Cricetulus griseus: one gene and its partners. The protein of the gene in region 1 interacts with the protein of each later gene in a pairwise test. Links are inferred from orthologs where the notes say so. Each region holds a gene or a part of one and is shown in the gene's direction. Other genes may lie near its edges.

Region 1 (3,968 bases):
TTCCCCATTCTGACATTTCATCTCTTTCATAGCAGACACCCATACTAATCCAGCTTTTAATTTTAGGCCTAAATCCCTCAACTTTTACCCTAAATACTGACTCCTAATCCTAAAGCTCATTTTTTACTTGCTTTTAATTCACCTTTTCACTGTTTATTCTTAATACTAACCCTGACAATGGCCTTTAGTACCTAAACGGGCTTCTAAGCCAATTCCTGTGGTTGATCCTTAACCTGATTCGGTATCCTGATCATGCTGATCCCTCCAGAAAACAAAATAATGACCTCAAACTAAATGTCACCTACACGAAACAGACTTGACTAAAGCAGCTAATGTTTAAAATTTACTCGAGCTTCGTAACCTCTGAAGGGATCCTCACTTCCTAAACCCGACCGCACCTAATCCCAAACTCACCCAAAGCTTTCCTAACCACATACTCACTATCTGCTAACACCAAAGGCCATCCCCGCCCAGTGCCTCAATGCCACCCCATTCCTCACCCTCCCCCCCAAACCTAGTCGAGGGAGAGAACAGCCTGCTCCCACGAAAGGGGCCTGCCTCGCGACACACGGCTAGCTTAATTCCAAACCCAAAACGAAACGCATTGGACGCTGACCTCCCCAACAGGACCGGACACAGGATATGCAGGAGGATCGGGGGCCCCGCCCGCCGCTTCCCGGGCTGGCCTGGCCCCGCAGCCCCACCTAGAAGCTCCGGCCCGGCCCGCCTGGCCTACCTGCGCTGCCCGGCTCTGCGCCCCGCCCGCCGGCCCGCTACCCGCTCGTTCTCCGGGTGGCTCTGGGGCTCCGGCCTCGCCCTCCCTTCGACACTCTGGTCCACTTCCGTCCTGGAAATGTCTCCCACCCGCCGGCGGCGCCCTGGGCCCGCGCTCTATGGTCGCAAAGACTTCAGGAAGCTGCTCTAGCCGCAGGTCTCGATGCTCGGGCGCCCGCAAAGCCTGGCCGCCCCTCCCCGGCAGGAAGCGAGGGTGCGGCGCGCTGGAGAGATCGCCCGAACCAAGCTGGTGTTCCCTTTTAGACTCTTCCTTTTTCTAGCTCGCGGCGAAGGCGGAGCCGGGTCCCTAGAATCCCCGCCCTGGGGTGTGGGAAGCTGTAGGGACGTCCCTATAATTTGCATAGCCCCCGGGACGTGGCGCAGCACACGAGCCACTTCCGAGTTGGAAGGAACTCCAAGTCCCAGGATGCCTTGGGGCTATGTGCATCACTTCCGTTGTGTTGGAAGCTGAGTAGAACAGAAGCTGGGAGGTGGCTGTGGTTTTAGTGTGACCGCAGGCCTTCAGCCTTGTAGCCCGGAGTAGAGTGACTAAGGTAAGTCGAGCCGATTTGACAGTCAGACCGAGGGGTCGTGTCTAAGGTTCGGAGATTGCATCTGTGTACAGGGATTTCTATCTATAGATATCCCAAATGGATCCTGGTGGTCAGGACCTTCTAGCTTTGGATCCTGGTGATCAGGACCTGCTGGGCTTCCTGCTAGAGGAAAACGGAGATTTGTGGGCTGCGACCGAGCAGGATGTGGAGGCTCCGCTGGACTTGGAGCTGCCGCCTTCCGAGGTGGGTGGGCGTTCTGAGTGGGGAAGCTAAGCGACGTCCGTGAGACCCAAGGGTACAAAGATAAATCAAGGCCTGTGAATTTGTTAGAACTCTGTGCAAGCACTGAGCGACTGGGAGGTAGAGGATTTACTGAGCTCTCTGCTCAGTCCCTCGGCATCGCTGGATGTTCTCAGCTCCTCCATCTCTTCTATTCGACATGACCACAACTACTCCCTCCCACAGGAACATGTGTCCATAGATCTAGGTGAGTGTGGAATGTTAAGTTATGGGGGAGGAAAGAGCTCACTGGCCTAGCTAGCCCTACTTTTTTCTCCCTACTTTGCAGATATTGGGAGCTTTGAAAAGGAGGGGTTCCGCGTGACTCCAATGCCTGTGGGGGATACAGTTACAGAGCAGGTACTGGACTTGAGTTTTCAGGATTATCCCACCTTTCTCGACTGAGGCCAAGGTTCCTCCCATTCTGCTCCCACATCCCCATGCAACTTTTGCTCTCCACTATTTCCTACAACCTTAGGAGATTTCTAGGCTGATGCTGACTGAGGAAGAGAAGAAGCTCTTGGAGAAGGAGGGGCTTAGTCTGCCCTCAGCACTTCCTCTCACAAAGGTAAGGTTCCTATTGGTGGAGTAAAAGCTGGAGGGGCAGCCTGGCCCCTTCCAGCACTTGGGAGGCAGAGGCAGGTGGATCTCTGAGTTCCAGGACAGCCAAGGCTGCACAGAGAAACCCTGTCTCAAAAAACAAACAAAACAAACAAACAAAAACAAGCAAGCAAACAACAATGACAACAACAACAACAAAACTAGAGGGGGATTACATGACCCAAGTAGGCAAATTCAGTTTATTTCATCTCAATAACTTGAAAAAGGACTGAGGTCAGAATCTAATCTAAGCACACTTGCTGCTATTGGGAAGCTGGGGCAGGTAGATAAATAGGCTAGATTCTAGGGCAGTTCTTGACCCTGTAGGGCTTACCTAAATTGTGGTGTTCCTTTCAAAATTACCAGTGTGTGGCTTAGTTGGGAAAGGCCCTGCTGCCAGGTCTATCCCCAGGACTCACATGATGGAAAGAGAGAACTGACTCCTACGAGCTTTCTGATCTCCAAACAAGCCCACACCCACATACAAAAATATAATTTTTGAATATCAACTAACATGAGAATAGAGCCTTGAGAAGGACGACAAATGGAGGGCTCTTACAGATTTCATTGTGGTCGTGGTACTCCATATCTTGCTCACGGTAGAGTTTGGGAGGCTGAACCAGTCTAACAATAACAGTTGTCAAAGCTGGGCATGGTGGCTCACACCTCCACAGTCCTAGCACTCTGGATGCAGAGGCAGAAAGGTCCTCACGAGTTCAAAGCTACTTCCTGAGTGCTGGGCTTACAGGCATATACTACTACATCTAGCTTTTATGGTAAACATTTTTATGTCATTTGCCTTTTTAATGTTTTCATGGTATCTTTTGTTATGTAGATGTTTATTTAGGGCAGGAGAATCAGGAGTTAAAAGGCCAGACTTAGCGTCATGCCAAGTTTAGGCAAGCAGAGGCTACGTGAGACACTGTCTCCTATCCCTCTGCCACCATTACAAGATGAGTGAGCGATACAGTAGTTTTAGTAGGAAGGAAAATAGAATTTGGAAATTATCATCAGTGGTGCTGTCCCTAGTACAGTAACTGTCTTTTCCTCCTTAGTCCCCCACCCATTGAGATTTGAATAAAGTGCTCTAACACTGAGCTACAGCCTGCAGCCCTGTTTGTTGAGAAAGGGTCTTGTGAGCCCAGGCTGGGCTGGCCTCAGACTATGTAGTGGGTAAGGAATGCCTTTGAATTGATCCTCCTGCTTTTAACTCCTGAGGACTAGATTACAAGTGAATGACATCATTCTTGGCTAGTGCCTAGGCTGTATCAGAGAATATGAGAATTAACACTTTATTTAGTTTCAATTTCTGAAAAAAAGTTGAAGTGCTTTAAAGTAAAGATATGTTCTATATAGCCTCAAAAATTCTAAGTAAATCCTACCGATAGAAATTATAAGAAAATTGATGTTGATTTTAGGATAAGGATGGATTTTTGTTATTGTTACATAAGACATAGTCTTATGTAGCTCAGGCTGGCCTCAAACTCTAGCCAAGGATGGTCTTGAAGTCCTGATCTCCTCCCTCTCCCCGCCAAGTGTGGAGATTACAGGCATGTGCTACCACACCTAGATTAGGAGGAATTTGTTTTTTAATTAACTAAATTAGAGGCTGGAAAGATGACCTCAGTGGTTTAGAGCACTTTGTACTCTTTCACAAGGCCCAAGTTCAAGTCTCAGCACCCATATGACAGCTCACAACTGTTTGTGACTCCACTTCCAGGAGATCTGACTCCCTCTTCTGACCTATGTGGGCACCAGGCA
Region 2 (4,201 bases), on another chromosome or scaffold:
TTTGTTTGGTCTCACACTGACCCTGAGTTCTCTCAGTGTAAATACAGAACAACCAAGGCACATTTTCTAGACTCTTCAGAAGGAATCTCTGTGTCTGCCCTTCTACAAGCCTTCCCACAGCCAGCTTCCCTAGTGGCAGAGCACAATTCACTGTTTCTCTAACCATCTCTGTCATGGAACAAGTGTCATCACAATTATATGTCATTTGTTTTTTTATTTAGCAACAATTTGAAACCCTAAACATTTTACTCATTGCCCTGAGTTTTGACCACTAGACTCTCGGTGAAGAGCAAGAAAGAATCCCTTCCCCACATTGCAGTCCTGCAGATGCTCCATCACACAGCACCAGGGCAAGGCAATGCATCACATGCTCTAAGTGTGGCTAAGGCATCTCAAGTGACACAAAGTAAGCTAATCACTGAATGTGTTTCCGGAAGCTGACAAAACCTCCAGTATGGATGGATGTGTTTCACTTCCCCCTACCCTGTAGCTGTGTTCACTCACATCCCCTCTGCCTCTGCTGGCCACGTCTTTCTTCTCCTAGTGCTCACTTGCCTTGCTCTTTAGACACAGGTTTCTATTCCTGTACAAAGTAACTAAACAACCCGATTAGGAAAACTGGTTTTGCTAATTCCATGGCGTGTTGGGAAGGAGACATAATTCAATTACCTAATTGACTAAACAAATAAAGAAATACAGCAGTCGGGCAATGAAGTAAGTAGCTGTTCTGATTTTATGCAAAAAAAAAAAAAAAAAAAAACCCAGGCCTGAATTCAACATTATTCAATTAGGCCATCAAATTACTTTTGTATTGAGGAAAACAAGCCCTTCTGGATCAGCCTGTGTTTCAGGCTTTCTGTGAACTAGACCAAAGAAGAGCCAGGCAGATCACTCAGGGCTTGGGAGGCATAGCGTTAATCAGGATGTTAGTGTAGTGGATTATGAGAGTGATTTATGTAATGCCTGGGGGAATACTTCTTCATTTGGCCAGGGACATGGTGATATTAAAGGGACAGTGTTACACACTGCCTGTCCCAGCCTTCTCTCTGGTTGCAACAACTTGAGCGTCTTGTCTGTGCTGGTGGATTATTAACAGAGGTTATTGGTCGCCATGGCAAAACAATTGAGCGATTGCATAGAACGTAATCTCATTTATGGGGGTGCAAAAAAAAAGACATAGGGTCAGGGATATAAATGCCCATCGCCACCGAGGGCCTGCAGTAGTTGAGAAGTGAATCAACTCCAAGGACACCATTCCAAAAGCTCTGACACTTGGTCCTAAATTTCTTATTTTAAATTTCTTATTTTAGCTACTGGGACTCACTGCCAAATCGCTGAGAAGACCCGTTAAGCAGGTGGTGAGAAGTCTTTGATCTCAGTGCTTTCCTGTGCCACCCCATCATGTGCACTGGGGGCTGTGCCAAGTGCCTGGGGGGCACTCTCATTCCCCTGGCTGTGTTTGGCCTCCTGGCGAATATCCTGTTGTTCTTTCCCGGAGGGAAGGTGATAGATGACAACAGCCACCTTTCCGAAGAGGTCTGGTACTTCGGAGGAATAGCGGGAAGCGGAGTCTTGGTGAGTAGAGACACCTTAATATTCCCTTAAAAGATAATTCCCCTGCTCCCATCCTCTTTCATTCGCTTCTTAGTACACGGATGCCATTCAGGAGCTAACAACCTTTACATACTGAAAAGTAGTGCCTTAGTTAGTATACTTCCCCTTCGTATTAGTGGCTGGGGACATCTTGGTTTACTAAGCAGTTCATCCCCCAAGCTTGGGCTGGAATCACCATAGGATATTTGAGCTCAGAGAATCAAGCTAACAGCCACTCAATCGCTTTACTCCAATAAAATCGTGCCGATAAGAATTATAAACGAAACACAGTGCTTTATCCAAATAGACGAGTTAGAATGCAGAGGTACAGAAGCTGTGGATTAGCTCTCATTCAGGAACTCACCATTTCGTTACCCCTTGTTTCCAATATGGGCGGGACCTTCAGGTTGTAGTATGACACTATGTCTCTTTTCTTTGCCCTAACCCACCCTTTAGATGACAACTAGGGATGCCAACTCTTAAAATCTCCTCACAGACATTGGTCAGTCAGGCCAAATGGAGCCCCCATACTCAAAACATGACCTACGAGTCACGCTAGCTGTTAGGTCTTGCCTGCCCACCTAAGCCTCTGAGACCTGAGGTCTTCATTGGCCAGGAAAAAACAAAAACAAAAACAAAAAAACTGTGGGCTTCCCTTCAACCCCAGACACTCTGAGCACATCTTCTCTTGCTGGCAGATGATCTTCCCCGCACTGGTGTTCCTGGGCCTGAAAAACAATGACTGCTGTGGATGCTGTGGCAACCCAAGCTGTGGGAAGCGATTTGCGGTGAGTTGTCATGGGGTCAGTGGCCAGAATTACTCTGGAGTTCACAGCTGGCTTGTGCTGGGCAGCATGGGTGTGCTGAACAAGCAACCAGCTCCAAGCCAGACTCTTGGGACATCGACTACATGATTAAGCTCTGATTCTCGCTGGTGCAGAATAAAAAGATTAAATATATTAAATTCTACAACCTTCATACTTAGAGGTATAGAGATATTTCAGTTTTACAAGTCCACTGCGATGACAAAGCTTTAGAACTGGGGTGACATGACACCACACAGAGCAGGCAGAGGTGGGGCCACACACTTCCCTCTGTCACTAAGAAGCAATGAGAACTTGAACAAATGGTATCTTTCTGCTGGCTCTGAATTGTCTCATCATTAAAGGAGACCTGGGGCAGGATAAAAGATGCTATCTCCCCTCCCTAATAGCTCACTAAACTCCTGTCTTTACCACAGCCAAGGGCACTATTTCTGGAGGCCCAGCATTTCCCACTGCCACCCAGAATCTGCCTCAGGATTTCAGCTTCCTCTCCTGTTTCATGAGGCCATCCATCTTTTAGTTAGTGAACTGGAGACTAGGGAGGCATTGATGTTCCCAGGGGAGCAGAAGGAATGCTGGCATGTAGGTCAGGTCCCATTTCTGCAACTGGGCAAGTCACCAAGTGTAAGATAAGGGAGTTGGACTGGATCAGAATTCCCTAGTTATGGGCCAAACCCTGCTGTATAGATACGTGTGTCCAACAACAAAGAATGTTTTCTTTAACTTATCCTCCTGTTGTTTTTATTCTATGAAGGAAAAAAAATCCTTATTTTGATGGGGATAAGTCTGCTGTTTCTAAACCTTCAAGCCTTCCTTCTGAAAAAGGAAGAACCCAAGGCTCTAAGAACACAAGCAACATTAGGTGACTAAAACTTAATAACACTATGTTCATGTTTGCTAACAATTTCAGCTTTTCTTTCAAAATAGTGATATAGATAAATAAAACACTTGGCTCAAAAAATATTAAGCATTTAGGTATATGATGAGACAAACATATGATGAGTGTAAACCCTGGGTTCGATGATGAGTAGCTAAGATGATGAGAAAGCTGGAGCTTTCCTGCACCAGCTAAGCCTGCTTTAAATTCTTGTCTGTCCATTCTTAAACAGAACTACCTTGATGTTTCTTTCTTGCCATCATCTGCCCATTTATTTAAGAAAGAAGGTATTTACCAAGTACACACAGAAGGCCACTGTGCTCTGTGCATAATACACTGAGGCTTTTTTTGTATGACATCTTATCACTTATAGAATATCTCTTGTAAAAAGCATCGTAAGTACTAAAAATTGTCATTTCAGCATTTTTACACAAAGAGTAAAAATAGCAACAACACATTTGATATAATTGTGTCAAATGTTGTATATACTTGGCAATATTTTCGTATGATTGACTATAAAGGAAGTGCATTTTCCCATCAGATCATTTACAAATAAGTTAGCGATGGCGGCTTGAAAAAATAGCAATTAAGGAATTTGGATGAAAATATAAAAATCATATCTTAGAAATCTATGTATGCATTTCTAATGCTGGGCAAAACTAGACAATGACTGACTATTACACAATAAGCAGACAGGCAGGTGCTCAGGCTTGCTTGTGGGTTTCTAGGTTTCTCTGTCACTAAAGTAAAAAGTGAAACTGTTCAAAGTATTATACAAAATGTTAATTTCATTTGATTTAAATGAAGTACACAGTACAGCAAGAAAGTCATGTTGTTCCCGGTGCAGTTGAACAAGCATGTTCTGAAACATTTGGTCTGGTCAATATATATCGCCACCCAGGGCTCC
Region 3 (3,952 bases), on another chromosome or scaffold:
AGGAAACAAAATTCAGAGTTCAGAGGTTCTGAAGTTTGTCTAAATATTTTACTGTCACTTTGAATTATCTTAACAAGAACTTCAGAATATACTCACAGAGACCAGTACTATTTAATGCCCTTTTCAGATATTTTCTGAAAACTCACAGCTCAGAACAAAATCGCTAAGAAACTGAACCTTCCCTGTGGCGAAGACCTCTTACTGTTACATTAACATATAGCTTAAGACAGGGAGCCCCTGGTTTGCACCAGGGCAATGCTGGAGTAATACCGGTGTTACTGGGTTCAGGCTGCCAATGTGAACATTGGCTACAGCATGATTCTGGTAACCAACATCTGGGTTCTAATTCTTACTAGTTAATTTGTAGTTGCTAGCTAAATACTTTCCCTTTAAAAGTTTAAAATCCATTTATCAACCGCATAGGCTATATTAGGGATCTAGGGGAGCCACAGAAAACGCTCCTGTCAGCTAAAAGAGCTTCCAAAAAATCAAGTGCGAGAATAGCATACTCCTGAATTCTATCTTCAGCAACAAACACTAAGACAAGAAATTTATAATACTTTGGATGATCTTACTTGCAAAAATTATATCCATTTCCATTTTTTTGGCGTGTGTGTGTGCAAGGTCTCATTGGGTAGCTCTGGAACAGGCTACATCGATCAGATCCACCTGTCTCTGTCTTCTCACTTGTCATGGGATTTAAAAAGGCCTATGATTTGAACGAGACAAACCAACCAAAGCGATTTCTGAGCTCTGTGCCTAGACAGAATCAGTGCTCCTAATTTACTAACAACCACAGCTTGGCAAGACAACGTGTGCTTGAAGTTCGGGTTTCACCTCTGCTATGATGCCCGCTGTTCAGAGGTCCGCCTGGTCTCTCCACTTGATCTCTAAGCTGAGAACGTCAATTACTGGCCAATATTTACAGCCGGGAGGCGCTGTGGTCCCCCAGTAACGGGTTATCTCCTGCGCGGGCACACGCGGTAGGACGCAAGCGCCCATTGGTTCGTTGTGCTCCCTTCTCCCGCCTCCTCCCGTTGTTGTCCAATGACCGCGTCTAACTCCGCCTATCCCCCCCACCCCCGTCCCGCTGCCCTGCCCCCTGGCGTCTAGGCTTCTGGGCCGAGATGGCGGCGGTGCGCGTGCGCGCTGGCTCACAGCTGCCCGGGAGGAGGAGCGAGCGGCCGCTAGGGAGGCAGCGCATCGGCTCTTCGGGCCAGGGCGGCGGCAGCGGTGCTGGGCGGGCACGGGCTCGGGGCTAGCGGCGCGGCTGCAGGGGCTGTGCGGAGCACTGCGGGGCTGCGAGGCGCTCGGGCCCGCGGAGAGGCCGTGCGCGCTGAGCCCATCTCCACGGCCACCGTGCTGCTCGCCCTGGGTGACATCGTGCCGGGGTCCTCAGCATGACCGAGCTACGGCAGAGGTCTTTCCGCGAGGACGCACCGCCGGAGGACAAGGTAGTGGCGTCGTTAAGTGCGGGGGGCGCGCCGGCAGCCTCGCCCTCTGACCTTTTTTCGGGGCCCTCGGCACCAGGCCGGAGCTGCGCAGGGGGTCGGCGAGCGTTCTCCGCTCGTGGGGACAGCCGCCTGCGGGCGCTACTCGGGCGCGGGGAGTAGCGCGTGAGCTCTGGGGGGTCCACGCCTTCCCTAGGCCTTCCTGGTGTGGAGACTGGACACCCCACAGAGCGGGTGAGTGCGATGTAGCCTCACCTCTCGCTTTAAAAATGCTGCTGTTAAATGGGGAGCGGGGAGGACTCAGGCCATAGCATTTGTCCCCTGGGAGATTAAAATCATCTTTTGAACTTGATTAAAACATTCAATATGTTGGGTTTTTATCAGGGAGGCGTCTTGATTCACGCCACGTGCGGTCCGGTTAATGAGCAGGTGTGTGCTCCCAATGGTGGGTTTGTTTACTGCGCCAAGTGTGAGCTTTGATGGGGTAAAGGAGGAAGGTAAGGAGGAGGCCATTTTGGCAGGGACACAACCAATGTGGGGGCGCTCCTTTGATTGAAAGTGCAAGGTTTGTGTGGAGAAGTTGAGAAAGGTGGAGAGTGGTTGTGTTACTGTGGACGTTGCATGACAGCATTTGCGCTTCTCGACTTAGCAGTTGTCAGGTTCAGTGATGTGCGAACAGACTGAGGGATCCTGGACCAGAGTGGTGGGGACTGGTTAACTCAGGGATTGCCAGCTGATGACCTGCTGATGCTTTTTTTAGGCCCACAAGCTGATACGGAAATAAGGGTTCTTCTGATGGTTTCTAGCTTGTCTTCGGTATTGGAGCATCTGCCTCCTTTCTCTGATTAATAGTTGACAGAGTTTACTATCCTTTTGTTTGTTCGAGACAGTGTTTCTGTGTGTACCCCTGGTGCCCTGGAACTCGCTCCGTAGATCAGGCTGGCCTCGAACCCAGAGATCTGTCTGCCTATGCCTCCCGAATGCAGAGATGAAAGGTGTGGGCAACCATCACCCACTTTACCCCCACTTTTATCCTCTAAACTTTTGTTTGGTTTTAGACAGAATCTCTCTATGAAGCCCTGCTAGCTGGTTTGGACGTCATCCATCTCTGCCTACCCTGTGCTAGAGTTAAAGGCATGAGCCGCACAGCCAGCTTGTACCTTTTGACTGTGTTTAAATTGGTTAGCGGGAACATCAGGAAGGAAATAAGCATAAGCTTTGGTGACAGCATGCCAACAGTAATTTTACTAGGAAGAATGTTTTAGATGAAAGATAGAGGGCTTAAATAACTTTGTTTCTCCTGTAGACAGTGGGTCATCAGAGGAGAACTCTATCCCTTTGGAGAAAGGTTAGGGCTGAGGTCCTGATTTAGGAGTATCTTGCAAAGACAGTACAAATCTCTAATCTTCCCCGTGGGTATGGCCCTGCAGAATGCTGTATTCACCCTGGATACTTGTTGGTGAGTTTGAAGGCTACACTGTGGGTGACCCTGCCTAGTTAAGGGTGACTGCATACTTAAAGTTAGTGGGGGTTCTGGACCAAGGAGGTGGGAGAAGAAAGAATGCCTAGAGGGGTGAGTGTGGTGGTGCGTGAGTTGGTCCCAGTGTTCCAGGAAAGGCAGGGGCAGGTTGATCTGAGCAAGTTCCAGGACAGCCGGGGCTACATAGAGAAACCTTGTTTTTTCTTTTCTTTTTCTATTTTTTTTTAAAGCCTGATAGTTGGTGGACTACAGCTACACACACACACACACACACACACACACACACAGAGTCACACACTGAAAGTTAGCTATACTTAACTAGATAAGACAAAACAACTGTAATGTTAGTAGTGAAGCACTTTTCACACTCCACACCCAGCTTTTTGGCTCCATTCCCCAAACATAAAGTGTCAGTTGATTCTTCCATTCACATCCATATTTTATATAGAGCAGATCTGAGGAGCTGTCCAGCCTTATTAATTACAAGTGCATTTAAACCACATGTGCAATGAAAGAGGCTTGTGGCTGTGAGGTCTGCTAGGAGTATGCTCCCTAAAATATAGCAGTTATGCATGGGAAATACATTTAGGAAACAGCGAGATGCATTATTTTTTATGAATATATGTAGTAGTGTGTGTGTGTGTGTGTGTGTGTGTGTGTTTTGAGACATCGTTTCTCTGTGTAACAGGATGTCCTGGAACTCACTTTGTAGACCAGGCTGACCTCAAACTCACAGAGATCCTCCTGTCTCTGCCTTCCGAGTGCTGGGATTAAAGGCATGCACCACCACTGCCTGGTTTAAAAGAAAAAATAAATCTTAATTTAAAAAAAAAGGTTTGTTTTTATTTATGTTTCTGTGCCTTTTAAGGGAAATGAATTGTGGAATTTGAACTCTGTTACTTCATAGTACAAGAATCCAAAGAACAGTTTTCAGGTCAATTCTTTAAAGAACAATTTTGAAAGATTCCTCAAAATGTTACAGTTGCTAAACTGTGTTTGCAAAACTGTCTTGTTAATAGAC
Region 4 (3,500 bases), on another chromosome or scaffold:
GGACATACAACGGCACCCGCCACATCTTTCCTGTCTGTAGGAGTCCACACACTCAGTAGATGCTTGCTGAGCTCCTTGGGCAGCTCCAGTGTGGGAGGTATGGTCACTGTGAACACAACAGCCAACTCTCTGCCCTGACAGGAGTGCGGTCCAGTTTGGTATTTCTCAGGCTATAGATCTTGACCTATTTGAGTCTTAATTTTATTTTTTGAGGTATGGCCTCATACAGCCCAGGCTGTAGTGTAGCTGAGGCTGGCCCTGAGTTCCTGATCCTCCCAAGTGCTGGGAGTACAGGTGTGTGTTGCTGTACCCGGCTCTATTAGTCAGTATGGAAATCGCTGTAGTGAATTGCAAACATGAGTTTTTGTTTTAGAATGGTGTTGGGGGAGGACCTGGGGTTTGTGTGTACTAGGCAAGTGCTCCACCACTGATCAGTGATCACCTGGTCCTATTTGAGGGCTTTGAAATACATTTATTTACATATGTATGTGTAGGGCCCTCCTACCCTGTGGGACCCAAGGATTGAATGCACTCAGGTTGTCCTTTACCCAGTGAGTCATCTTGGTGGCCCTTGAGAACTTTTAATAAGTTGCATTTTACACATAAACAGAATTATTTGATAACTGCATTTATTTATTGTACTTAGAAATAATCTTGTAAAACTCACAGAATTATATCCAAGCAGACTCTAATTTGCTATAGTTTTAACTTTTGAGTTTTGGATTCTTTCCCCAGCCTAGCAATGGGCAGCATGTCCTGCAGTGCTACAGCCCTCATCAGCCACGAGTGTTCTTCACTGTTCTGGGCGGCTCCACTCTCTTGTTCATCAGGTTGTGGGAGTCGAGTGCAATTGCAGCCTCTTCAGGCAATTGCAGCTATTTTCAGGACATAACCCCTTATAAGTCTAGAGGCATCCAAGTATTTGTATTGTACTGGACCGCAATAGAAAATGGTTTGGGTTTGTTTTCATAGCACTGGGGTTCAAACCCAGGGGCTCACCGTTCTAGGAAGCCCTCTGCCACTCAGCTGTATGTCCATTCCTAAAATGGACATCATATAGGGAAGCTTGGAAAGTGCCAGGCTCACACGGTTCACCAAGGGCTGACAGAGGAAAAGGTTAGCATGGCCTGGAGTCCAACTGCGACTGCTGGAATCAGTCCCTGGGCCCTCCTGGGGCTGGGCTCACTAACCCGTGTCCCCACAGCTACCTGGTGGCACACACCCTGGGGCGCCGGATGCTGTACCCAGGCTCTGTGTACCTGCTCCAGAAGGCCCTCATGCCTGTGCTGCTGCAGGGCCAGGCCCGACTGGTGGAAGAGGTGAGGCTTCCTACCTGCCGCTTGCCCTGTCCTCCTAGGGATGTGGCCTCCTGCCCCTCGTGACCTGGTCTTTGCATCTCCCTTACTCAGTGTAATGGGCGCCGGGCAAAACTACTCGCCTGTGATGGTAACGAGATTGACACCATGTTTGTGGACCGGCGGGGGACAGCTGAGCCCCAGGGGCAGAAGCTGGTGAGAAGGGGCAGGGAGCCAAAGGGGGTGGTAGGGGAGGTAGAGACTCTGGAGGTCCTGGTGCTACAGAGCCTTTGCTGTGGAACCACAGTTAAGAATAACTCCCACCCCACACCTCCAAAAAACAGAAGGTGGTGGCGCACGCCTTTAATCCCAGCACTCACAAGGCAGAGGCAGCTGGGTCTCTGAGTTTGAGGCCAGCCTGGTCTATAGAATGATTTCCAGGACAGCCAGGGCTACAGAGAAACCCTGTCTCAAAAAAGGAAAAAGAATAATGCCCTCTCCCAGCTCCACCCAAAGACGTCCTCATAGGAAAGCTGAAAGGAAGCCAGTGGAGGGCAGGGTCATGGGGAGGGCTCTTTCTCTCTCTCTCAGGTGGAGGGCAGGGTCATGGGGAGGGCGCTCTCTCTCTCTCTCAGGTGGAGGGCAGGGTCATGGGGAGGGCGCTCTCTCTCTCTCTCAGGTGGAGGGCAGGGTCATAGGGAGGGCTCTCTCTCTCTCTCTCAGGTGGAGGGCAGGGTCATGGGGAGGGCTCTCTCTCTCTCTCTCAGGTGGAGGGCAGGGTCATGGGGAGGGCGCTCTCTCTCTCTCTCAGGTGGAGGGCAGGGTCATAGGGAGGGCTCTCTCTCTCTCTCTCAGGTGGAGGGCAGGGTCATGGGGAGGGCTCTCTCTCAGGTGGAGGGCAGGGTCATGGGGAGGGCTCTCTCTCAGGTGGAGGGCAGGGTCATGGGGAGGGCTCTCTCTCTCAGGTGGAGGGCAGGGTCATGGGGAGGGCTCTCTCTCTCTCAGGTGGAGGGCAGGGTCATGGGGAGGGCTCTCTCTCAGGTGGAGGGCAGGGTCATGGGAGGGCTCTCTCTCTCTCTCTCAGGTGGAGGGCAGGGTCATGGGGAGGGCTCTCTCTCAGGTGGAGGGCAGGGTCATGGGGAGGGCTCTCTCTCAGGTGGAGGGCAGGGTCATGGGGAGGGCTCTCTCTCAGGTGGAGGGCAGGGTCATGGGGAGGGCTCTCTCTCAGGTGGAGGGCAGGGTCATGGGGAGGGCTCTCTCTCTCAGGTGGAGGGCAGGGTCATGGGGAGGGCTCTCTCTCTCAGGTGGAGGGCAGGGTCATGGGGAGGGCTCTCTCTCTCAGGTGGAGGGCAGGGTCATGGGGAGGGCTCTCTCTCTCTCTCTCAGGTGGAGGGCAGGGTCATGGGGAGGGCTCTCTCTCTCAGGTGGAGGGCAGGGTCATGGGGAGGGCTCTCTCTCTCTCAGGTGGAGGGCAGGGTCATGGGGAGGGCTCTCTTTCTCTCTCAGGTGGAGGGCAGGGTCATGGGGAGGGCTCTCTCAGGTGGAGGGCAGGGTCATGGGGAGGGCTCTCTCAGGTGGAGGGCAGGGTCATGGGGAGGGCTCTCTCTCAGGTGGAGGGCAGGGTCATGGGGAGGCTCTCAGGTGGTAGACTTGCTTAGCATGAATAAAACCCTAGGTTTCATCCCAGCTTCATATATACTGAGACCTGGGGTGCATGCCTGTAATCCCAGCACTCACAGTGGAGGCCGGGGAATCAGGAACTCAAGGCCAGGGCTGGGTGGATGGTTTAGTGGGTGACGTTTTGCCATCTGTGTTCTGATCTCCAGAACATGTATAAACCCTAGCGTGTTGGACGCCTGGGAGGACCCTGGGAAGCTCTCTCCCAGTCTGGCTCATGTAGTAAAGCCACAAACAACAAAAGGACCCTGCCTCAAAGTCGAAGGCAGGAGTAACAATGGAGGTTCTCTCCTGACCTCCACAGGGGTGCCACAGTTCACATGGGCACTCACGCACACGCACACAGAGTTTAGGGTCTCTTCCTTGGCTACACGGTGAGTTGCAGGCTGGGGATAAAGCACTGTGGTGTGTGCACCCCACCCCACTGTCATCCCAGCCCTGAAGAGGCAGAGGATCTGAAGTCTAAGTCAAGGCCTGGCTGGGACACACAAGACCCTGCCCCACAACAAACAGTAGGTGGATGGTGGC
Region 5 (3,500 bases), on another chromosome or scaffold:
TGGGATTAATGGTGTGTGACACCACTGCCCAGTTTACTTTGAATTTTATGATCATCTTTTAAAGTTCTGTTTGAGAGGAGTAACTGAGAAGGGGGGAGCAGGAGTGGGGAGGCGGTGAGAAAGGGTAAAGAGTTAGATGACAAAATACATTCTAAACACATGCAAAAATGTAATAAGGAAATTCACTAATACTTATTTGTAAATAAAAACATTTTAAGAAGTTTCTTTTGATTTACTGTTTTTGAGTGCATCCCTTTGTAGACCCCTTTATAGAAACTTTTTAGTGATTACTGTCCCTTAATAGAAAGGTTTGAAACTAAGACCTAGACTCATGAAAAAGAGGGGGAAATGTTTTTTATGTAGATGGGACCTGGATGCATTCCATGACATTGTTTGGTTTGTAGTCATTATACTGTAAACAACAGAACGAGAAAGTAACTGGCCAGCATTGAAAATTTATTTGACTTAGTAAAGACATTCTCATCACCAGATAAATGAAGCTTGTCATTATTTTAGATTTTCCTTTGCCTTACCATTCCCATAAATGAGTATGTCATTCAGTAATTGTTAGAATTATATTCCCTGCAACCATAGTTCAGTTACAGATATGAGTTGGGTGGAAAGCATTTGGCACCTTCTGTGAGAATCAGTTGACTCTGAGGAAGGTGTGATGAAGTAGTCTACATTTCATTTGCAAAATGTGTGTGCTACACATTCTATCAGGGAGATTTGCAGTATGCTAATGTGAGCACAGTGCCCCTCTTCCAACACACTCCTGGGGAAGTTGCTAATACCTTGAATTCTATGGATGTAACATTAGCTAAAAACTTTGACTTAATATTCAATGAAATAAACTGGTAGCAAGCCCGTGTGCCACCGTGCCCTCCATCCCACACTGTCATCTGACACTGCCATCTGTAAGCTGCAGCCACGCTGGTTATCTGGGCAGCCCATCAATGCCTGTGCTGAGGTAATTGGCAAGTACAGCGTTCCTTTTGAGTACAGAGAAAACCTATGTTACTAGTCACAGTGAAGTAACACGGGCAGGACAGTGCTCCGTTACTCCTCTAGTTTAGGATTTTAAAATGTCTGGATAGACTATGACTCCATTGCATGTCACGGTACCACAGTGACCCTGTGGGAGATGGAGAAGAGAGGGCGTGTTCTTTGGCTTCGTGACGGTGCTGGAGATTGAGTCTTGTGATGCCCATATCCTAAAGGATAGGCTGTGGTGGCACTGCACAGTATGAGAGAGCAGTAACTCAGTGGCATTTGAGCCATAATATTTTTATTTTAATGAATTTACTTTAATTTGTGTGTGTCTGGGTAAGTGCACATGGGTGCAGGTATGGATGGCCACCAGAGGCAACAGATCCCCTGGAGTTGGAGGAGGTTGTGAGTCTCCTGACTTGAGTGTTGGTCCTCTGGATAAGGAGTAGTACATGTTCTTAACCACAGAACTATCTCTCCAGCACCCTTGTACCTTTGTGTGTATTTTTTTTAATAGCATGAAGTTATTTGAGTTGACATTATAGTAGACTCAACGTAAGTCTGTCTTTGATGTAGTAAGCTTTTAATTTGCTGAGTTGAGTGTTTGATATGTGTATGATACCCTTTTTTACATTGTATTTCTGTGACGTGTTTCCATATACTATCTAATTTTAAGAGTTTGTCTTGACTTCTTTCCCTTTAGTTTGATGAGTGGTGTTAAGAACAATGTTGGAAGAGGAATCAATGTTGCCTTGGTAAATGGTAAGAATAATCATTGTACTTGACCAGTGTAATCAATGGGTATACTTATGCTCCACACTAAAATTTGTCCTTGGCATCAGAGTAGAAAGCACCACTCAATAATGAAGCTGTCCCAACAAGGATACCCTCTTGTCCAAACCACCACAGATGGAGACTCTGAATCTACTTTTTGGTAGCATGTATTCTTGGGCGGATTGCAGCCATGTGCATTGTGTGGCGGGCGAGTTTCTTGTGAAATTACAAGCACCAATTTGACACAAAATGGAAGCAGTCTTGCTGCATCTTTCAGAATTCATACTTCATATGAAGACAAGTAGACAAGATTAAGGGTGTGTCATGATTTGTTGTACATTCTCAATACTATCCATGCTGTACTCAGAGCTTCATTTGAGCCGATAAGTTCACTGAGTCCTGGATGTAGTGAGTGTTAGAAAAGTAAATCTTAAGTATCCCGACCACAAAGAGCTTATGCACCGCTTGTGCCTCTCCAGATACATGTTTCCTGTACCTTCCCCAGGGGAGTCAAATCTGCCAGCAGCTCAGCCAACCCCCAGCAGAGAGAAGCTCTCTTTGCTCCATTCATAGGTGGTAGTCATATGACTTGGTACTTCCTTTTTCCCAAGTAAAACCTTTAATGTCTATTCTTCTGTTTAATGGTTCTTAAAGATAAAATAAGTGTCAATTTTATTCAGGGGAGGGGGGAGGAAGGAGAAGGTTTATTATAGATGGTTGTTCTGATTTAAGTAGACGATTTCTTTGCTGTAGAGGTTATGGTTTGGTAATTCTTACGGGCTGATGATCGCAAGTTGCAGTGACCTGTGGCACAGAACTGATCTGAAGTCAGTGGTGCACAGCTCTGTGTATGAGTCAGAGCATAAGTTCCAGAAGCAGTTCCTTCTGCTGATGAGTGCGTGTCACTCGTTGCTATGCTGATATTTCAGTTGTATGATTTAATATGTCGTATTCTGTCTCTTTCAGGAAAAACAGGGGAGGTACTAGACACCAAATATTTTGACATGTGGGGAGGAGGTATGTGTGACTTACCCTGTGCTCCTGCTGCTGCAGCTGAACCCATTGCAGAGAGGACTAACTATGGCACCGTTTGCATTTCCATTTTGTTTTGCTCCATCTTACTACATGCCGGCCATATTTAAGTGGGCTGTTGTGTTTGCATGCTGTTTCATTATGGTGGGAAACTTGTCTGTGATTGAGATTCCACTGAGATTTGAAGGATGTTAGCATCCCATGTTTTGACAGGACAACTATCTCAAAGCCCTGAGTTGGTTTCAATTTCTGCCTGAAAGTCAGAATCCTCTGAAGATCAGTATAACCACTTCACACAGTTTTAACGTGAAGTGCCTCGTGTTCTCGAAAAGTAATAATCCTACTAATCCATCCTATGTCTACCTTTGAACTCTGCTATTATTAGTAGCAAACATTTGGGAAAACATTTGTAATTTGCTGGACTCAGAACAAGCCCACAGATATTTTTCCCATCCATGTTTGGAGGTTCTAGGGAAAGGAAGAGGTTACTATCAAATACTGGTGAATTTGAAGCAAATACTGGCTCCCCCAAAGAATGTTACCCCAAAGAGAAAGGTTTCTTTAAAAAAAAAAAAAAAAAGGAAAGAAGAGATATTTATTTTCATTATTTTAAGTGTGTGTAGATGCTCATCTGCAGGTAGTTATGTTCACATGGGTACAGGTTCTGGGAAGCCAAGTGGCACTGGACCCCTGGAGCTGGAGTT
Region 6 (4,144 bases), on another chromosome or scaffold:
AGACTTTCCATGTGCGAACTACCAAGCTGAAAAGACCAGACTACTGCCTCACCAGCACCTGCCTACTCTAACAACCGCCATGTCAAGAGAAGCAACACTGTCCCTAAGTGCAGCTCCACAGAAGTAGTTCAGATACTAGGTCTCAGGAAAAGCGTACCTTAAGAGCAAAGAACTCTGAAACTCTCCCCAAGTAAACTTGTTTAACAGAGTGTGGACAAGTTCAAGGACAAAAATAATGCTTAAGCAATGGAGGCTTTGGCAGCCAGAGGCTAGTTGCTTATTAAAAGCTAAAAGCTTAATCATGGAGCGGGTAGGCAGATTATCAGAAAACCAGTGAGCAACCAAGCAAGCTAGCCCTGCTGGAATGAAAACAAAGGGAAAAGGAGAAGGAGCCAGACATGGTCTGTAATCCCAGCTCCTGGGAACCAAAGGCGGGAGGATTTCTGAGGGTTGGAGGCCAGCCTGAGCTACATGGTAAGACCCTGCGTCACAACAAAAGACAGGAAGAAACATGGGACCTGGGCGGGGTTGACTTTGACTTGCAGTTGAAAATGGCAAAATGGTTGCACATTTATTTTTTTCTTCCCAAAACCTCACTAAAATGTCACTTTCTTTTAAAAGCAAAAGGCTAAAAGGACAATGGGAAGGAGGCCAGCTTTGAACTTCCCAACAATAGGGAAGGTAGAGAGCAGGGAATCCAGCCTCAACACTGTATAGGAAAATTCGTTTAACCAAAAATGCTATGCTTTATTCAACTTTGAACAAGATTAAGAATAAAATAAAGATATCAGTTTGGCAAACTCTTTTAAAAAAATTACCTTTAGTGTTCCTCGTTTCTCAAGAAATCACCAGAGATTAATTCTAACAAAAGTGAATAAGCCAAGGAGGAGAAAAGCTTTTGAGCAGAAAAATAAGAAATCTAACCTAGCACAGAGGCAAAGGGAATCCCTAGGATGAAGTAAAACTCCAGTTGGGGGCAGCGTGCCATAGCAAAAGAAAGGGAAACCCAAGAATTTAGCATTATCGGGGAGCGGTCTACTGTCTTTCCCAAGCTTGCCCAATTCCAAAGTTCCCGCGATCACCCGAGGAAAGAAGGCCAAGAGTACACTCCCTGCGATTTCAAAACTGAAAGCTTTCTTTTTCTTTTAGTTCGAAATGGGATCGCACTGTTGCTGTTGCTGCACAACTGTTGAGCGTTACATCGCTAATGGCAAAGTTTCCAGCCCAGAAAAGTCACCTTCCAAATGAATGAGGGGACCCAGGTCCCACCTGCTGCGCTGGCTGGGAGGTTGGTCACATGATTAAGGTCGGGGCCTAGAAAGATTGCAGGTCGTGTTTATCGGAGTCACATCCCCTGGAGCTCAGGAAGCTGGCGTCCAGGCTCCCCTCGGAAGCGACCGTGTGGGACAATCACGACCCTCACCTGGCACACTGATCGGGTGGTTTGGGTCACGTGTCCCGGTCAGCAACAAGAAGTTGTTTACGCTCTTGGTTTCTGAAAAGTCATAAGACACAGGCAAGTTAAAAAAACGAAAGTGAAATCAGCTGATAGTGACATCAGTCAGCACTAAAGTACCAAAGTTCAGAGAGTTGTTTACTTGGACACCGCTGCGCTGCGCTGCCCTGCGCTGCGCAGGCCGGGCTCTAGCTGCTTGCAGCTTCTCCTCTGCCCTAGTTCCTGGAGCGCAGGAGCGAATCCACTCCCCGAAGCCGATTTCCTGTGTCAGCTTTTGATGAGTGCTCGGTGGGCTCTGTCTGGCCTTGGTTTTCGTAAGTAGCAACCCAGGCTCACACGCTTGAGATTCTAGCAACACGCAAAGGGAAAAGTCTTGCTTGGTGGCCTCCCCGCTCCCCGGGGTGCGATCTACACTTTCACCTCTGTCCCACCCCATGCTCCCAAGCATCGCTGTGTCTGCCGCAAAGACCATGGAGGAGGTAACGCTGGTGGATGGTTAGAAACACTCAGGCTGACTGCGTGTAGCCGGGGCTTTGCACAGCCTGGACCGGTAAATATCTGTGGCTCCAGGACACGCTGTTCTCCAGAAACAGACAGACAGACAGACAGACAGACAGACAGACAGACAGACAGACAGACAGACAGAGACAAAACCAGGTCACTACAGCAGCAACTAAACTGATGCCAAGACTTCAGAAAATGCCAAGGAAAGGTCCGTGATCTTGGCTAAAAAGGAAGTGTAGGGTCTAAGAGACTTTAAGACTCTGTGTTGTTACAGACTCCTTTTCAACCCCCAAAGCAAACTCATGCGGTGGGGGTGGAGGGCTGGAGGCTGTCCCTTGGAACAGATCTTGAGAGTTTGGGTTTTTGTTTTTGTTTTTGTTTTTTAAATTTGGGATGATTAATACCTTCCATTATACTTCTTTAATCTGTAAAATCAAAGGAGTTGTTCAACAAGGAATGAAGAGAAAACGGGGAGGGGGGAGTCTTTCTTTTCTTCAGGACAACTGAAGCAAGCACATTTTCAGTATCTTCTTCCTCTACCGGGTCTTTTAAGCTCGGATCTGAGATTTGGTAGCTGGAATATTATTTCACTCATACCCTTTTCTAAACTTATTATTTTGGTTCCCTCATTATTGAGTTACTAAGGCTACGGTGGCTTGTTTTATAAATGTCCCTTTTTCACAAACAGCACATAATTTGGGGACTATTTTAGTGTAGCCGTCACCCAGAAATACCAAAGGTTGCCAGCATTGGAACTTTAATTCCTCAGTCCCGGCTCCTGGGCGTCTTTCGCACCACATCTGTTGGCCTTCCTAAGAGCTGCATGCTGCTTCATCACCCCGACGTGCGATAACTGACGTCTGATGTTGGGAATTCAAGTTTTGTGCAGAGTGTTGGGATAACCCATCCTGTGTATAAATCAGGGGTTACATTCCAGATACTGGCTTGAGATAAGGCTAAAACAGTGGGTTATTAGGTCAAAATACATACTTCAAATTCAGAGTCACCATGTTAGAAAGTCTGTCTTGCCATTTGGAATGTCACCAAGAGTGTTATCTATAGTTTTTAGCAAGAAAGACAGAGGTTGTTACTTGGCATTCCTTGGCAGCATTAGGAAAGGTGTTTTTTTTTTTTTTTTTTTTCATGTTAGCTACAATCTCTTGTGAAGTACCTGTATTCCCTCATCCACTTTATGCCATGCAGTGTTGTTTTTTTTTTTTAATGTTTGCATGAACATTTCCATACATTCGGCCGATTAATCGCCTCATAGTTATTGCAGATTCTTTCCATGCTCTTTGTCTTTAATTGTGTATTGCTTTTATTACAGGTGCACAGAAATCTCCACTTTAAATGACTCACTCTGTAATTTTCCTTGCAGTTTTGATTTGCTTTTAAGTTCAGAATGTGTTTTCTCATTCAGAAATCAAAGTTTCTTTTTTTCTAGATTTCATTTCACATGGGTTCATTCTTGAATCCATGTGAACTTGATTTTGTCGTATGGCATGACATGATGTCCTGAGATGGTTTGGGGTTTCTTGTTTTCTTTTTTGGACTTGTTAATAATCAGCCACTGTAACATTAGTTAATGGAAGGCTCTTCCAGGCCTCCTTCAAACCTAGTATCTCTGGTGCATATGGCTCTCCTGACCCTCTCATAGGGAACAATTACCTGTGGTTTCTCTTCCTCACTTTGCCCTGTTTATTTCCTTCCCAAAGCTTCTCCAAATCATCTCCTTAAAAATCTATGTGGTGTATGTCTTATGAGCACAGGTTTGTGGGGTGGGGAGGGGGTATTTGTTTTTCCAGTGTGTCTTTGGTCCTTCAGACCCCTGGCTCAAGGACCTCCCAAATGCATCATTAGTGGGGTCAAGGGATGAAATTTTAGCCTGGGAAAGGGGGTGGCCCATCTCATAATTGCAGGGAAGAGTGGCAGAGCTCAAAAATCAGAACCAGGTCCTGGGAAGCCTGGTCCCCAGCCCATGCATGAATCAGCAGTTGATAAGCCTGCTGGGAGGCCTGCCAATGCAAAGTGATGGAGACGGGCGCTCATCGTTAAGGATGGTTTTCTACCTCCAAAGTTTGTTCCCTGCTGGCTCATACCCAATGCTAATAAGCCAACAAAACAGTGGGACAAATAACAAGTAATATTAAATGAGCCTTTTAGTCAGCTGCTTCAGTGGTTTGC
Region 7 (4,298 bases), on another chromosome or scaffold:
TCATAAACCTCTGCAGCCACTGAGCTTTGCTGCTCCCCTTCCCCTAGCTTCTCTTTTCCTATAAATCCCTGCCGTTTTGGCTACTCGCTGTCTTGGTCTCTTGGTTCTCTCTGCACTGTTGTTGGTCTTCTTTTCTCTCTCTCTTCTCTTCCTCTCTTGCTCTGCCCCTCTCTCTTTCCTGTCATGGCTCAGTCTATTCTGCTGGCCATGTTCAGTCTGGCCTCTTCCAGAAGCCCCTGGCTGTGTTTTCCCTTATATCTATAATGAAAACCTCTTCAAATTTCATTTATTTTACATTGTTCGTAAAATTGTAAAATTCAGGTTGTCAATGTTTCCCACGCTGTCCTAGTGTAACCTCTTTATCATTTCCTTAAAACTCCAGAACCAACCAGGGGTGGTGGTGTACGCTTTTAGTCACAGCACTCGAGAGGCAGATCTCTTGGAGTTCGAGGCCAGCCTGGTCTACAGAGGGAGTTTCAGGACAGCCAGAGCTACACAGAGAAACCCTGTCTCCATAAGTCAATAAACAAACAAACATAGATAAATTGAAGGGAGCAGGTAAAAGCACCTCAAATAGATAGATGGTAGGCAGGCAGACAGAAGACAGACCGACAAAGGGAATAGGCAAAAGCACCTTGGCCAGATTTGACTTCAGACTCCATTTTACCTGTAGGGTGAGACAAAGTTCAAGCTGAGAACCTTCCAATATATGACTTACCTCCGTAAACTACAGAACTAGTCATTATGCGTCTCTAGCTCTCTAGAAACATGGCTATTACTAACAACAGAAGGAACAAATAAATTTGATTGCTTGGACTAAAAGCTTGCATTGTATTTGTTGACAGTGATGAATACTCAAGGAAGCCCCTAATCTCTAAATCCTTATTGGTGAAAATTGTAACTGTAACTTGGCAACCAATGTTTGTGATTTTTGTGCTTAAACACTTGCTTCAACTGGCATTTGGGGTGGCCGTTCAGCCCCAGAGTCTTTTCTGTGGCCCGAATGATCCATCAGCCCCCTCTCCTTTCCCCCTTCTTCTTCTTCTTTTTTTTTTTTTTTTTCTTATTTTTTGAGACAGAGCTTCTCTGCCTAGCATTGGAGGCTGTCCTGGAACTCGCTCTGTAACCCAAGCTGGCCTCGAACTCAGATCTGCCGGCTGGGAATGAAAGCGTGCGCCACCACCGCCCGGCTCCTTTTGTGCTGCCCGTGTTAAATCTTGCCTTGAGGTAACCTCTTGTGTCTACCTGGGTTGATTCACACCCTCGGACCACAACAAAATGAATAAATAACTAAACAAATAGATGGCGACCCATCGCTAAGGCTCCTAAGCCGCTGACGCCGCGCTCGGCGGGCCCCAGCTTAGACTCCGGCCCCATCGACCGAGCCCGCCCTCCAGCGCCAGGCCCCGCCCCGCGAGTGCGGAAACGGACGCACAACTCCGGAAGGCGTCGTCACTCAGGCTCCGCCCCTCGGGAGTCCCCACCTGGCTTTAGCCCGGAAGTCCTGGGGACTGAAGTCCGGAAGTTCGGGAGGCTGTCCCCTAGTTCCCTCCCGCTAATTCGGTGCGAGTCGGTTGGTGCCCGCGCAAGTGTGTCCCAAAGCTTTTCTAGTTCCGTCTCGCTGTGCTTCCCGTTCTCATGTTCGTGCCCTGTGCGGGTCACTGTTCGCGGACCTGGATCGGGCGTGTGCACTGTGCGGAGCGAGCATAACGGGCCGCTCGTGGAGCTTGTTGGTAACTGAGGTCAGAGGGAGGCAAGTTGTGTGCCTAACGGGGATTCCAGAGCATGCAGGGCACGATGCTTGATTGCACCTGGGAATCCGAGGAGCCACTCAACACTGGGGCTTTGGGCGTTGTCTCCAGGGGTCTTGCCACAGTGTCCCATTAATTCGGATGCATTTGGGCCATAGTTAGTATGACGGCAGAAACTCAGACACAGGGCACTTTCAGTTCCCTTTCTTGATGGGAAGAGGAGTTTCTGGACGATTCGGCTAAGGTGCCGGAAGCCTGAGAGTTGCTGGAGGCTAACAGAGCAACTTCAAGACGAGGATTCGGTTAAGGAAAGGGTTCCCAGATATGACTGTGGCTTGGAAGTAAGACCAGGCCTCACTTTCTGGGCTGTGTTGTCCCTGTGCCCATGTATAATTGTGAGTTGAGACAGTCTCGTGGATAAAGGCCGCTGTGGACCTTCCCCTGGCCTCCTGTTTAGACTGATGAGGTGCTGCCTGTGTGCAGTGGTTGCAGGCTTCAGCTGTGTGTCTTTCTCAGCCGGGTCTGCTGTGAGGTGAAGCCCAGGTTCCAGAGATGTACATGCAAGTGGAGACACGAACCAGCACCCGCCTCCATCTGACGAGGGCTCCAGGCATCCGGTCTTGGTCCCTGCTGGTCGGTAAGACTTATGTTTTTCCCAAGTCAAATCTTAAGTGATGGGAACAGTTTCTTCGTATTCTATTGGAGGTTCTTGTCAATACAAGACCTTGGTAAAGCATGCTTCATTCACTTTGGTGTGCCTTCCCTTTCAGAGGGCATGCAGGGTCCCCTTAACAGACATGCACTCCCAGCCTGTCTGCTTTCTTGAGGTCACTAGGTTTTCTTCCATGTGACAGGTGATCATGGGTTCACATTTCTCTTCCTCCCTGTCTCCGTCCTCCTGGACTCTGTCCCCCATCACTGCCTACCAGAAGTGTCTTGCATCTCATGAACAGCTGCACTTGTGTTGGCTGGGCTGTTCAGAGTCTGAGGTGAGGTACTGGCTGTGACTTCAGCAGCAGGTTCTCTATAGTCCTTTATGATTCGTGAAGGTCCTCATGACATTCTGCATACTGTGCTCTGTGTTGTATTATCTCTGTGTAGTCTTGTCTTTGCTCCTCATCACAGGTAGGCAATACTGACATCTGGGTCATTGCATTTTTCATTTGATTGCAGACGAGTCTGGTGAATGCCATGGATAGCATAACCTGTTTTTTTTTTATTTAATTTTTTAATTATGTAAGTGTATCTATGTATGGGTCTGTGCAGGTGCATATAGGTGCTGTGGAGTCCAAAATAGTGTTACATCTCTGGCGCTGAAGTCACACGAGGTTGTGAGTGGCCTGCGGGTGCCAAATGTTGGACTTTCTTTGGGCTGTCAGTCCACAAATAACGAAATGGAAATTTATTATGAAAGTTTGGCTTTTAGCTTAGGCTTGTCCCCAACTACCGCCTATAACTTAAACTAACCCGCATCTATTAATCTGTGTTCTGCCATGTGGCTTTTTTTCTATAAATAATTATTTAAGTTTATTTTATGTGCATTGATATAAAGGTGTCAGATTCCCCTGGAACTGGAGTTACAGACAGCTATGAATTGCCATGTGGGTGCTGGGAATTGAACCTGGGTCCTTTGGAAGAGCAGCCAGTGCTCCAACTGCTTGCTTCTCCAGCCCCCATGGCATGTGTTTTTTTCTACATCTCTTCCATTGTGTTTGTCTGACTTGGTCCAAATCTTGTTGAGGTCTCTGAGTGCCTAAATTCATCCCAAGTTCCTTTCGCTGCTCAGAAGTACTGCCTATTCTCTCCTGCATAGCTGTTGGCCATTCAGCTCTTTATTAAACTAGTCACAGTGACACATGTTCACACTATGTGATAAAATGGCCCACAACAGTGCTGAGAACTGAACTGGGTTCCTCTGCAGTAGTATATATTCTTAAACAATAAGCTATCTTTCCAGTCCCCCCCTCCCTATTTTTAAACAAACTTCTTGGCTGTGTCCCCAACCCTGCACTAGGTAGCTTCTACCTGCTGCCCCTGAACAAGCTATCCTGCTGTGAGACAGGCCTGCTTTGGGGGGCTGCAGCACAAGAAGAAGGGGAACTCTCCTTGACAGTTAACAAGATAATCCCTCTCTCCACAGGAATATTATCCACTGGCCTGGCTGCTGCCTATTATAGTGGAGGTAAAGTATGTTTTTCCCATCAGCTTCCTTGTACTTGGAAATAAACAAAAAGCAGAGAGCATTCCTAGTGTGTGTAACCTTTGGGGTGGCCTTTGCCTTGCCTTGTGTGAGAGATGACTATAGTCCATGTCCTGTACCTTAAATTTCTTCCTGTTATAAAGTACTCTCGGAAAGAAGCTCTTTAGTATTTATTTGCCTGCCACTTTGCTACAGGGAAAAATCGTGTGTCTTACCCTCCATGACAAGGTATATAGATCTACCTGTCTCCTAGGTGGACTTAGGCAGAGTTTGGGATACACATGTCACCAACGACCCAGGAAGGTACAGGAACGCAGTTGACTAAGCCTGTAACCTGAGATGAAGGA

What was found.
Region 2: the proteins of Creb3 (region 1) and Tm4sf4 interact in a two-hybrid assay, tested with the Homo sapiens proteins (2 studies listed by BioGRID and IntAct). The two-hybrid records come from large-scale screens. The link is inferred for Cricetulus griseus from reciprocal best matches to the Homo sapiens genes CREB3 and TM4SF4.
Region 3: the proteins of Creb3 (region 1) and Cds2 interact in a two-hybrid assay, tested with the Homo sapiens proteins (2 studies listed by BioGRID and IntAct). The two-hybrid records come from large-scale screens. The link is inferred for Cricetulus griseus from reciprocal best matches to the Homo sapiens genes CREB3 and CDS2.
Region 4: the proteins of Creb3 (region 1) and Abhd16a interact in a two-hybrid assay, tested with the Homo sapiens proteins (2 studies listed by BioGRID and IntAct). The two-hybrid records come from large-scale screens. The link is inferred for Cricetulus griseus from reciprocal best matches to the Homo sapiens genes CREB3 and ABHD16A.
Region 5: the proteins of Creb3 (region 1) and Fam3c interact in a two-hybrid assay, tested with the Homo sapiens proteins (2 studies listed by BioGRID and IntAct). The two-hybrid records come from large-scale screens. The link is inferred for Cricetulus griseus from reciprocal best matches to the Homo sapiens genes CREB3 and FAM3C.
Region 6: the proteins of Creb3 (region 1) and Tmem140 interact in a two-hybrid assay, tested with the Homo sapiens proteins (2 studies listed by BioGRID and IntAct). The two-hybrid records come from large-scale screens. The link is inferred for Cricetulus griseus from reciprocal best matches to the Homo sapiens genes CREB3 and TMEM140.
Region 7: the proteins of Creb3 (region 1) and cytochrome b-245 chaperone 1 interact in a two-hybrid assay, tested with the Homo sapiens proteins (2 studies listed by BioGRID and IntAct). The two-hybrid records come from large-scale screens. The link is inferred for Cricetulus griseus from reciprocal best matches to the Homo sapiens genes CREB3 and CYBC1.

What each region holds. Positions count from the first base shown.
Region 1 is NC_048595.1:99,953,772-99,957,739, reverse strand, and holds the start of Creb3 (cyclic AMP-responsive element-binding protein 3), read left to right. Parts: upstream 1-1,168; 5' UTR 1,169-1,328; intron 1,329-1,415; 5' UTR 1,416-1,424; coding exon 1,425-1,571; intron 1,572-1,658; coding exon 1,659-1,815; intron 1,816-1,896; coding exon 1,897-1,967; intron 1,968-2,085; coding exon 2,086-2,175; intron 2,176-3,968. UniProt on the Homo sapiens protein: Endoplasmic reticulum (ER)-bound sequence-specific transcription factor that directly binds DNA and activates transcription. Plays a role in the unfolded protein response (UPR), promoting cell survival versus ER stress-induced apoptotic cell death.
Region 2 is NW_023276806.1:94,014,721-94,018,921, reverse strand, and holds the start of Tm4sf4 (transmembrane 4 L6 family member 4), read left to right. Parts: upstream 1-1,401; coding exon 1,402-1,575; intron 1,576-2,291; coding exon 2,292-2,381; intron 2,382-4,201. UniProt on the Homo sapiens protein: Regulates the adhesive and proliferative status of intestinal epithelial cells. Can mediate density-dependent cell proliferation.
Region 3 is NC_048599.1:46,320,216-46,324,167, reverse strand, and holds the start of Cds2 (phosphatidate cytidylyltransferase 2), read left to right. Parts: upstream 1-1,152; 5' UTR 1,153-1,400; coding exon 1,401-1,454; intron 1,455-3,952. UniProt on the Homo sapiens protein: Catalyzes the conversion of phosphatidic acid (PA) to CDP-diacylglycerol (CDP-DAG), an essential intermediate in the synthesis of phosphatidylglycerol, cardiolipin and phosphatidylinositol.
Region 4 is NW_023276806.1:231,619,161-231,622,660, forward strand, and holds part of Abhd16a (phosphatidylserine lipase ABHD16A), read left to right. Parts: intron 1-1,204; coding exon 1,205-1,319; intron 1,320-1,409; coding exon 1,410-1,511; intron 1,512-3,500. UniProt on the Homo sapiens protein: Phosphatidylserine (PS) lipase that mediates the hydrolysis of phosphatidylserine to generate lysophosphatidylserine (LPS). LPS constitutes a class of signaling lipids that regulates immunological and neurological processes.
Region 5 is NW_023276806.1:204,885,848-204,889,347, forward strand, and holds part of Fam3c (protein FAM3C), read left to right. Parts: intron 1-1,693; coding exon 1,694-1,752; intron 1,753-2,730; coding exon 2,731-2,781; intron 2,782-3,500. UniProt on the Homo sapiens protein: May be involved in retinal laminar formation. Promotes epithelial to mesenchymal transition.
Region 6 is NW_023276806.1:193,071,926-193,076,069, reverse strand, and holds the start of Tmem140 (transmembrane protein 140), read left to right. Parts: upstream 1-1,344; 5' UTR 1,345-1,516; intron 1,517-1,564; exon of another isoform or gene 1,565-1,770; intron 1,771-1,796; exon of another isoform or gene 1,797-2,006; intron 2,007-4,144.
Region 7 is NC_048600.1:133,705,601-133,709,898, reverse strand, and holds the start of cytochrome b-245 chaperone 1, read left to right. Parts: upstream 1-1,498; 5' UTR 1,499-1,742; exon of another isoform or gene 1,743-1,753; intron 1,754-2,267; 5' UTR 2,268-2,303; coding exon 2,304-2,388; intron 2,389-3,891; coding exon 3,892-3,933; intron 3,934-4,298. UniProt on the Homo sapiens protein: Functions as a chaperone necessary for a stable expression of the CYBA and CYBB subunits of the cytochrome b-245 heterodimer. Controls the phagocyte respiratory burst and is essential for innate immunity.